Linked DNA regions of Macaca mulatta. The protein of the gene in region 1 binds, or shares a complex with, the protein of each later gene. Links are inferred from orthologs where the notes say so. Each region holds a gene or a part of one and is shown in the gene's direction. Other genes may lie near its edges.

Region 1 (3,811 bases):
AAACTTTTAATTCCAAGAGAGCATTCTATCTTAACACATAACTTTAGGTGAATATTTGTTATGCAAGAAGTACACTAAAATTATCTGCAGTGTAAAATGACAGATAAAAGTTGTGTATGGTACCTAAGCATTTAGATGACGGCATTTTCTCCCTGTTGAGTTTGTTAATGTTCACAAAAGCAAACACTGTGATTAAGGTTAATGTTTTAATTTTTATTAATATTCTCTTTCACCTACTTGTACCCTCCAAAACATATATTTTAAAATAATACAGGAATGGGCATTATGTCCTGTTTTAAATCTATTTCTGTTTATTTCTTTACATTCATTTAATAACTTTTTTTCTAAAAATTTTTTAAGCAATAAGAAACCCAAATTTTGAGCATGTTTTAGCTCTTAATATTTGAAGAAAAACCATCCATCTACCAAAATGGATTCTTTGCCTTTTATAGCTTAAGGCTGTAATGAAGACAATGCATCATTTTTGGAATAATTGCTTGAATTACTACTCTCTGTGAATGGCCCACTTGGGCTGATATCACTGGTAGAAACTGAAGGTTTCTTCCCCAATTCTTAGTTATATTTTGCATATATCAGGAGCTATAGCACTATGATAAAGTTCCTCTAAATGTAAAACCTGCATATTTAATGAAAAGAGAATTGATGATTAAAATCAAACTAGAGTCTATACATGGGAAGTCTGTGTACAATTTGGAAACTCCTGTTTATGTACAGCTTCATGCTCAGCCCTTCCAGCCAAGAGCATCGAACCAGTCTCCTGCTCGTACAGAAAAGCATTTACACACTTAGAGATGATGCTCAGCCAATCCATATGAGGAACCTAGCCAAGGGAGAAGCATTCATCCTGGGTAGGTGGGAATAAATTGCAAAATCATGACAGCATCACCATCGTACCAGAACGATTCCCTGCAAGATTGTCTTTAGCATCTGGTGATGGCCATAGCTTCCTGAAGAAAAACATTTGGATCTTAGCAACACTGGGTATGCTGGCTTGATATACAATAAATCACTTGCTTTATTCTAAAAAGTATTTCCAGATATACCTACTGCCCATGATGGTTAGAATTAAAATGAAACAAGGCATATATGATATTCAGCAAGCATTCAATATGCACTTACTATTATACCCATTTTTGTTTATTACGTTAACTACTTCTATTCACTGCTAGGTAAAAATTGAAAGTAGGTAACATTTTACGTCATATTTTTTCTTCTACACCTTTTTCCTAGAGTACTAAAGTTAATGAATACCATGAGAATATATTTGTAAAATTTTTAGTCGCTTATTATAAGTTTATTTTCTCAGCTAACTGTTTTTAGTTGTCATTAAGCAAATGACATTCTTTTAGAAGCCATTTTTTAAAAAATATTGCTTATAAGCCTTCTTGGGGTAATAAGTGAGAGTGAACAACTAGTCGGAAAGAATTTGGATATAATTGATTTTATGCCTTAAATCTAAACCACTTTTTAAAAATGAGATTAGGAGTGCTGTCCCACTTCCAAAGTTTGTAGAATTGTTCAGAAAAGGAGAGAAAAAACACAGCCTGGTAAGTTGCAACTTGAAATTTTCTTGGTTTTTTTGGATTTGGGGTGTGCCCTGTGCCTACCCTTTTTTAATTTAGGAAGTGATTAGAAATCTTTATCAATGCTAATCATTGCTGGCTAAATGTGATTTTACTTTTTGTCCACTTTAGTTGAAATGGATAGTCTTTCTGAGCTATCCCAGCAAGGCGCCAATCATGTCAATTTTGGACAGCAACCAGTTCCAGGGAACACAGCCGAGCAGCCTCCATCCCCTGCGCAGCTCTCCCATGGCAGCCAGCCCTCTGTCCGGACCCCTCTTCCAAACCTGCACCCTGGGCTCGTATCAACGCCTATCAGTCCTCAGTTGGTCAACCAGCAGCTGGTGATGGCTCAGCTGCTGAACCAGCAGTATGCAGTGAATAGACTTTTAGCCCAGCAGTCCTTAAACCAACAATACTTGAACCACCCTCCCCCTGTCAGTAGATCTATGAATAAGCCTTTGGAGCAACAGGTTTCGACCAACACAGAGGTGTCTTCCGAAATCTACCAGTGGGTACGCGATGAACTGAAACGAGCAGGAATCTCCCAGGCAGTATTTGCACGTGTGGCTTTTAACAGAACTCAGGTCAGTTGTGTTTGGTAAATGGTTCTGTGTTGTCTCCCCTTTTCTCTCTCTTTTGTCCCATCTATAACTGAAGTTTATTATTTTACTTCTGTACTAACATTTTTTCTCTCTCTCCATGTGATCATATTACCTATTCCTAGTGGAGCCTCAATTTTATCACGCCTTTTCCTATGATACACTTCTGAATCAAGGGAAACCTATGTGCAGATTGATCCCAATTCAGGGGCTTTGAAAGACTAATTAAATGTCAAACATGTTTTAAACTGGCATTGCTTGTGCTTTTATATAATGGAATCTTAAACTATAGTAGATAAGAAAAGTTTCATGACTCGGTCAAGGCCATTGGCAGGATTCCAGGCTTCTAGCCTATCGTCTTTCCCATGTATGTTATGTTACTGCCCATATCAAACTTAGGTATATAAATGTTCCCTATTAAAGTTCCACAGCAGTGTTGTCATCATCGTCGTCGTCGTTGTTAACACCTTGGAAGCAATAATCCACTTAATTCTAAGCAATCATTTTGAAAAAATACTATATGATGTATTAACATAATATGTTGGTAAGCTTTGTGCTCTCCCTCATGCTGTTGTCTTCCAAACTTCATTGTCTAGACCAGGCATCAGCAAACTTTATTCTGTTATCGACTAGATAGTAAATATTTTAGGTTTTGAAACACATAAAATCTCAGTTACACTGTAGAGTAATAAAGCAGCCACAGACAATAAATGAATGGCACCGGGTATGGTAGTATCTCGGTAAAACTATTTACAAAACAGGCCATGGAGTAAGTGTGGCTGGCAGGCCTTAGTTTGCAGACCCATTTGTAGAGACCTCACTGCCTGCTTATTGATACCCCTAATGTGCACAACTTTGTCTTCCTGGCCCAATTCCTGTGAAGATACTGTCTATCAGCGTGGAAGATGTTTAAGAGGGTCATGGGAAAAAAGTGATGTATATGAGAGGTGACAAGATAAAGATATTTGAGAAGCCCTAAACGCATTCTATTGAACTGTGAATGAGAATAATTTTTTTCTTTGTTTTGAAACTAGTATGATACATTATATATATGGTGTTTATTTTTGGCCCAGGTATACTAAAACAAAACAAAACAAAAAACCAAACCAAAACAAACAAACAAACAAAAAAAAGAAAAACCGCATAACTTTAATTAGAATGAGGACATTATGCCTTTTCAACTTTTTTGTTTTACCGCTGTTCTTTCTTTTGTCAATTTATCTTATTTTTTGGCCTGACTCCCATTTTCCTTTCATATTTAAGTTACTTTGTTTATTATGTGATTATGATTATAAGAATAAAATTCTGGTACAGAAATAATCTAGTATTAATTCCTAGTTGGCAGAGTTTCCATACCTAGGAGAATCCCAGCTGTGACTTATTTTTGGCTTGCCTTAACTAGATGGGGAGTTAGGAGACCTGACAAAGCCTCTAATTCAGTGTTTGTTTTCAGTTGATTCATCTTTTTTTTTTTTTTTTTTTGTACGTTTGTCTATTTTTAAAAGGGCAGTTGCACAAGGCTATGTCTCAGGTTAAAGTTGTGTGGTTTTACCTAATTCCATATCTTTATAGCTTAAGAAACTGTGTTCATTATTAGCTGGTAAAATTAGTATGACACCTATATTC
Region 2 (4,610 bases), on another chromosome or scaffold:
AGAAGCTGTTGCTAAACTTTCAGAGGTGTTCAAGGGGATGGCCAGAGGGAGAAGCCACTCTCAGGCCTCCCTGCATGACTTCCAGACACTGCTTACTATTTGGATTCTTCTATGCCCCATCCACACCTCTAAACGGCAATAATTGTTTTATTTGGAGCCGAGTTGCACACTACTGTTGCTGGCCACTTTGCCCAGGTCAGAGTAGCTCTCTCTGTTCTCAGCCCTCCAGAGCATGACTCCCCGGTCCCTGCAGCCCCCACCTCCAACTCCCCTTTCTTCATCCTCCGCTCCCCCATCCTCATGCTTCTACTCAAGACTTCTCTGCTCTTCTTTTTAAATACTCACCACCACCCACGCAGATGTTACATTGACAGAAAGTTTCTAGTTCCAGCTCCGGGCTCAGTTGCCATTTCTCTGCTAACCAGCCTTCTCCTGGCTGGGCTGCAGAGAGAGAGGAGGGGGAGGGGAGGCCAGAGCCGTGGGAGTTCTCCAGGCAAACTTTCCACCCAACTTAGCGCTTTCCCTCTGTCCCCATTTCCCATCTGTTTCCCAGCTCTCCCAGAATCACCTTTCTCTTTTGCACCCCCACCTCCACCCCCACCCCCAGGCCTTTTTAAGAGATGTGAAATTTTGGCTGTTCCCTCTGCTTTCCCAAAGAGCCAAATTCTTTGATGCAATCGGAGGGAGCTGTCAGGGGGCTAAGATTGATCGCCTCATCTCCTCTCCGTCCCTCTGACCCACTTATTTAAAAATCTTCCCCCAGATCGACTTTTCATTTTCTGCTTTGAGGCCTAGTTTCCCACCAATTGCTTGGGGCTTAGAGTCTTGTGCCCTCTTTCTATAGTAAATTACAACACTCTAAACTTCAGACTATCTCGGTCTCCTCAAAATAAAATAAATTTTAAAAGCATTTCCCCTCAGGAGCCAGAAATGGAATATCATCTCAGTGGTCATTATTTCCACCCGCGCCATTTTCAGGGAATTCTTCCTTGTCAGGGATTTTTTTTTTTTTTTTTTTTTTTTTTAAACTAGCACAATGGCAAAAATGGGAGGGAAAGTCTCTTTGTCCTAGGGGAAAAGCTCCCCACCACATTCATGCACACACATACGCTGATCTGAACTTTGAGAGTGCTCTAAGTTAAATCAGTGGCTACCTGAGTTCTTGTTCATGTCCCTGGATATGGATACAGATATGAGCTTGAGGCTTGAGTGGGTACATGCACATCTTAGACTCTGCTTGTTTTCGGGGGGAGGGAGGTGTCACAGAGAAGCATGGATGCCTGAAAGTGAGGAAAGCAGGGGGACATAAGGGGAAGAGGCAGTGCTGCAAACACTGGGCAGAGACGAGAACCCAGGCCACACAGCGATGGAGGCCAGAGGCCCAAAAATGCCCCTCATGCTCCATCTCACTCTTATGTGTCCGCCTGGGAGTTCCTGTCCATTTCCCAAGATTTAACTGTTGCTTTTGGAGGGTTAACATGGGGATAGTGGTGCTGATGATTATAAATCTCTTTCTTATTTGCACCTTAACACTGACCTTTTTCAAAGAGTGGAAGCCTCTTTCGACTCCCTCTTCCTCCAACGCAGGGATCCTCACTCATCTTTTCTTGGGGAAGGGGAGAAGGGAAGACGATGCTGCTGGCCACGTAAGCCACGAAAGGAAAGCCTTAATTTACTCTATTAAAACATTTGGAAAAGAGGAAGGTTTCTCCCTTAGAGTCTCTTCTTTTCCAAGCTTCTGAAACCTTCTAACCTCCGAAAGGGATGAGGAAGTGGTTTCTCTAGCTTTTCTGGAGAAAGGGAGGCACTGGGGAGAGAGCGTGTGAGGCACTGGTGTAGGAATGGGGGCTCATGGTGTCCAGGTCATGGTCCTCTGGTGTTTTTGAATCAATTAAAGCAAATAATGCTCTCTGTTTTCCACCAGGCCCAGACGAGCGATTGGCGGAGACCGGTCCCGTGACCACGAATTCCCTGTAATTTCGCCGGAGTCCTGGGTTTAATAGAGAGAGTCCCCATACGCTTGTATTTATCAGCAATATACAAATATAAAGGCCCAAAATTTAAAAAAAAAAAAAAAAAGAGAGAGAGACCGAAATCTCCCCCTCCCAAAATCGCTCCATTACATAAATCTGGGGGGGGCAGGAGGGGGGGTCCCTTCCGATCCTCCCTCCTGACGCCCCCCCCAGCAGCCCCCTCCCCCACCATTGAAAGCCATGAATTTTGAATTTGAGAGGGAGATTGGGTTTATAAACAGCCAGCCATCGCTCGCCGAGTGTCTGACTTCCTTCCCCGCTGTCTTGGAGACATTTCAAACTTCATCAATCAAGGAGTCGACATTAATTCCTCCTCCTCCTCCTTTCGAGCAAACCTTCCCCAGCCTCCAGCCCGGCGCCTCCACCCTTCAGAGACCCAGGAGCCAAAAGCGAGCCGAAGATGGGCCTGCTCTGCCGCCGCCACCGCCGCTGCTCCCCGCTGCCCCCCCGGCCCCCGAGTTCCCTTGGATGAAAGAGAAGAAATCCGCCAAGAAACCCAGCCAATCCGCCACGTCTCCTTCCCCGGCCGCCTCCGCTGTCCCGGCCTCCGGGGTCGGATCGCCTGCAGGTCGGTAAGCCTGGTGGGGGTGGGGTGAGGGGCACCCTACAAGAGGGGGAGAAAAAGCAGTGGAAGGAGGTTAAAAAAAAAAAAGGTGGCAAGCCTGTTGGGGTTCCTTACCCCGTCCATTCCCGGCATGGGGAAGAAGAATATCCCACTGGGGGACAAGCCTGGCCTCTGCCAGCGTCTTTTTTTTTTTTTTTTTTCCTCTCTCTCTCTCTCTCTCTCTCTCTCTCTCTCTCTCCCTACAGCTGATTTTGAAAGCTGGTTGGGGAAACGCCTTTTTTCTGCTAGAAGAAAATGATTTGATTGAGGTTTTCATCCGTATCTGTGTAGGGGAATGAATATGTTGTTGCTGGGATAGACTCTAGAAGCAGAAAAAGATTCGGTCCTTTCTGCCCCAACTCTAGGAGAAGAGGAAGAATTGAGAGCTAGGGAGGAAGAGGGGTGAAGAACAATCTTTATGACCCTCGCTCCGGTTGAGTTGGAAAGTTCCGAATTGAGGGGTCCACTGGGAGGGCTTGGGAGGGGGGATCTGAGGTTTCGGCGCCAAAGGGAGCGGCTCTCCGCCCCCTGCGTGGCCCGTGGGCGGCTCTGAATGCTTTGCCGTGACCTGGGCCGGGGCTGTCGACTAGGGAGGGAGAGAAGAAAACCCAAAAGCAGTGAAAGCGAGCCGCTGTGGGGTGGGGGCGGGGGTGGGGTGGCGAGGAAGGGGAGAGGTGATACTGGTTTTGGCGGATGGGTTAGTCCGAACTAAGGTTGGGCTGAGTACACTGCCCGCTTTGACGCCCAGCTTGTTTTCCCTGCAGATGGCCTGGGACTGCCGGAGGCTGGTGGCGGCGGGGCGCGCAGGCTGCGCACGGCTTACACCAACACACAGCTGCTGGAACTGGAGAAGGAATTCCACTTTAATAAGTACCTGTGCCGGCCACGCCGCGTCGAGATCGCAGCCTTGCTGGATCTCACCGAAAGGCAGGTCAAAGTCTGGTTCCAGAACCGGCGCATGAAGCACAAGCGGCAGACGCAGCACCAAGAGCCGCCGGATGGGGAGCCTGCCTGCCCGGGCGCCCTGGAGGACACCGGCGACCCTGTCAAGGAGCCCGCGGTCAGCCCGGGCGGCCCCTCCGCCTCGCGGGCGGCGTGGGAAGCCTGCTCTCACCCGCCGGAGGTGGTGCCGGGGGCCTTAAGCGCCGCGGACCCCCGACATTTAGCCGGTGGCTTAGAGGGCGCGGGCGCGCCGAGCCCTGGCTGCGCGCTGCGCGGGGCGGGCGGGCCGGAGCCGGGACCATTGCCAGAAGATGTCTTCCCGGAGCGCCAGGATTCGCCTTTCCTTCCCGACCTTAACTTCTTCGCGGCCGACTCCTGTCTCCAGCTATCCGGAGGCCTCTCCCCTAGCCTGCAGGGTTCTCTCGACAGCCCCGTCCCCTTTTCCGAGGAAGAGCTGGACTTCTTCACCAGCACGCTCTGTGCCATCGACCTGCAGTTTCCCTAACCCGTTTCCTCCTCCCGGTCCTTTCCACCCCCGCGCTCCTTGGTCATCTACTGGAAAAATCGAGCCTCTCCTACCCCCAGTCGCATAGACTTATGTGTTTTCCTAAAATTCAGGTATTACTGAATTAGCGTTTAATCCACTCCCTTTTTTCTTCTAAAATATTGGGCACTCGGGCATCTTTTAAAATTCACACAGAAAAATTCCGTTTGGTAGACTCCTTCCAATGAAATCTCAGGAATAATTAAACTCTAGGGGGACTTTCTTAAAAATAACTAGAGGGACTTATTTTCCTCTTTTTTATGTTTTAGACTGTAGATAATTTATTAAAATTCTTTAATAATAGGAAAAGGGGAAAGTATTTATTGTACATTATTTTCATAGATTAAATAAATGTCTTTATAATACGAAAACGAGTGTTTGTGTTGGGACTTAACCTCTTTCCCCGCGGCCCCAAGGCCGGTCCTTACCCCTCCAGCACCTGTGCGAAGTTGATTCGGTTCAGCGGCCCATGTGGCAGCAAAGCCTC

The links.
Region 2: SATB1 (region 1) and HOXB2 share a complex: the UniProt entries of both Homo sapiens proteins name them as parts of the nuclear protein complex. The link is inferred for Macaca mulatta from reciprocal best matches to the Homo sapiens genes SATB1 and HOXB2.

What each region holds. Positions count from the first base shown.
Region 1 is NC_133407.1:30,132,119-30,135,929, forward strand, and holds part of SATB1 (DNA-binding protein SATB1), read left to right. Parts: intron 1-1,715; coding exon 1,716-2,170; intron 2,171-3,811. UniProt on the Homo sapiens protein: Crucial silencing factor contributing to the initiation of X inactivation mediated by Xist RNA that occurs during embryogenesis and in lymphoma.
Region 2 is NC_133421.1:61,463,877-61,468,486, forward strand, and holds HOXB2 (homeobox protein Hox-B2), read left to right. Parts: upstream 1-1,660; 5' UTR 1,661-2,213; coding exon 2,214-2,601; intron 2,602-2,712; exon of another isoform or gene 2,713-3,401; coding exon 3,402-4,084; 3' UTR 4,085-4,494; downstream 4,495-4,610. UniProt on the Homo sapiens protein: Sequence-specific transcription factor which is part of a developmental regulatory system that provides cells with specific positional identities on the anterior-posterior axis.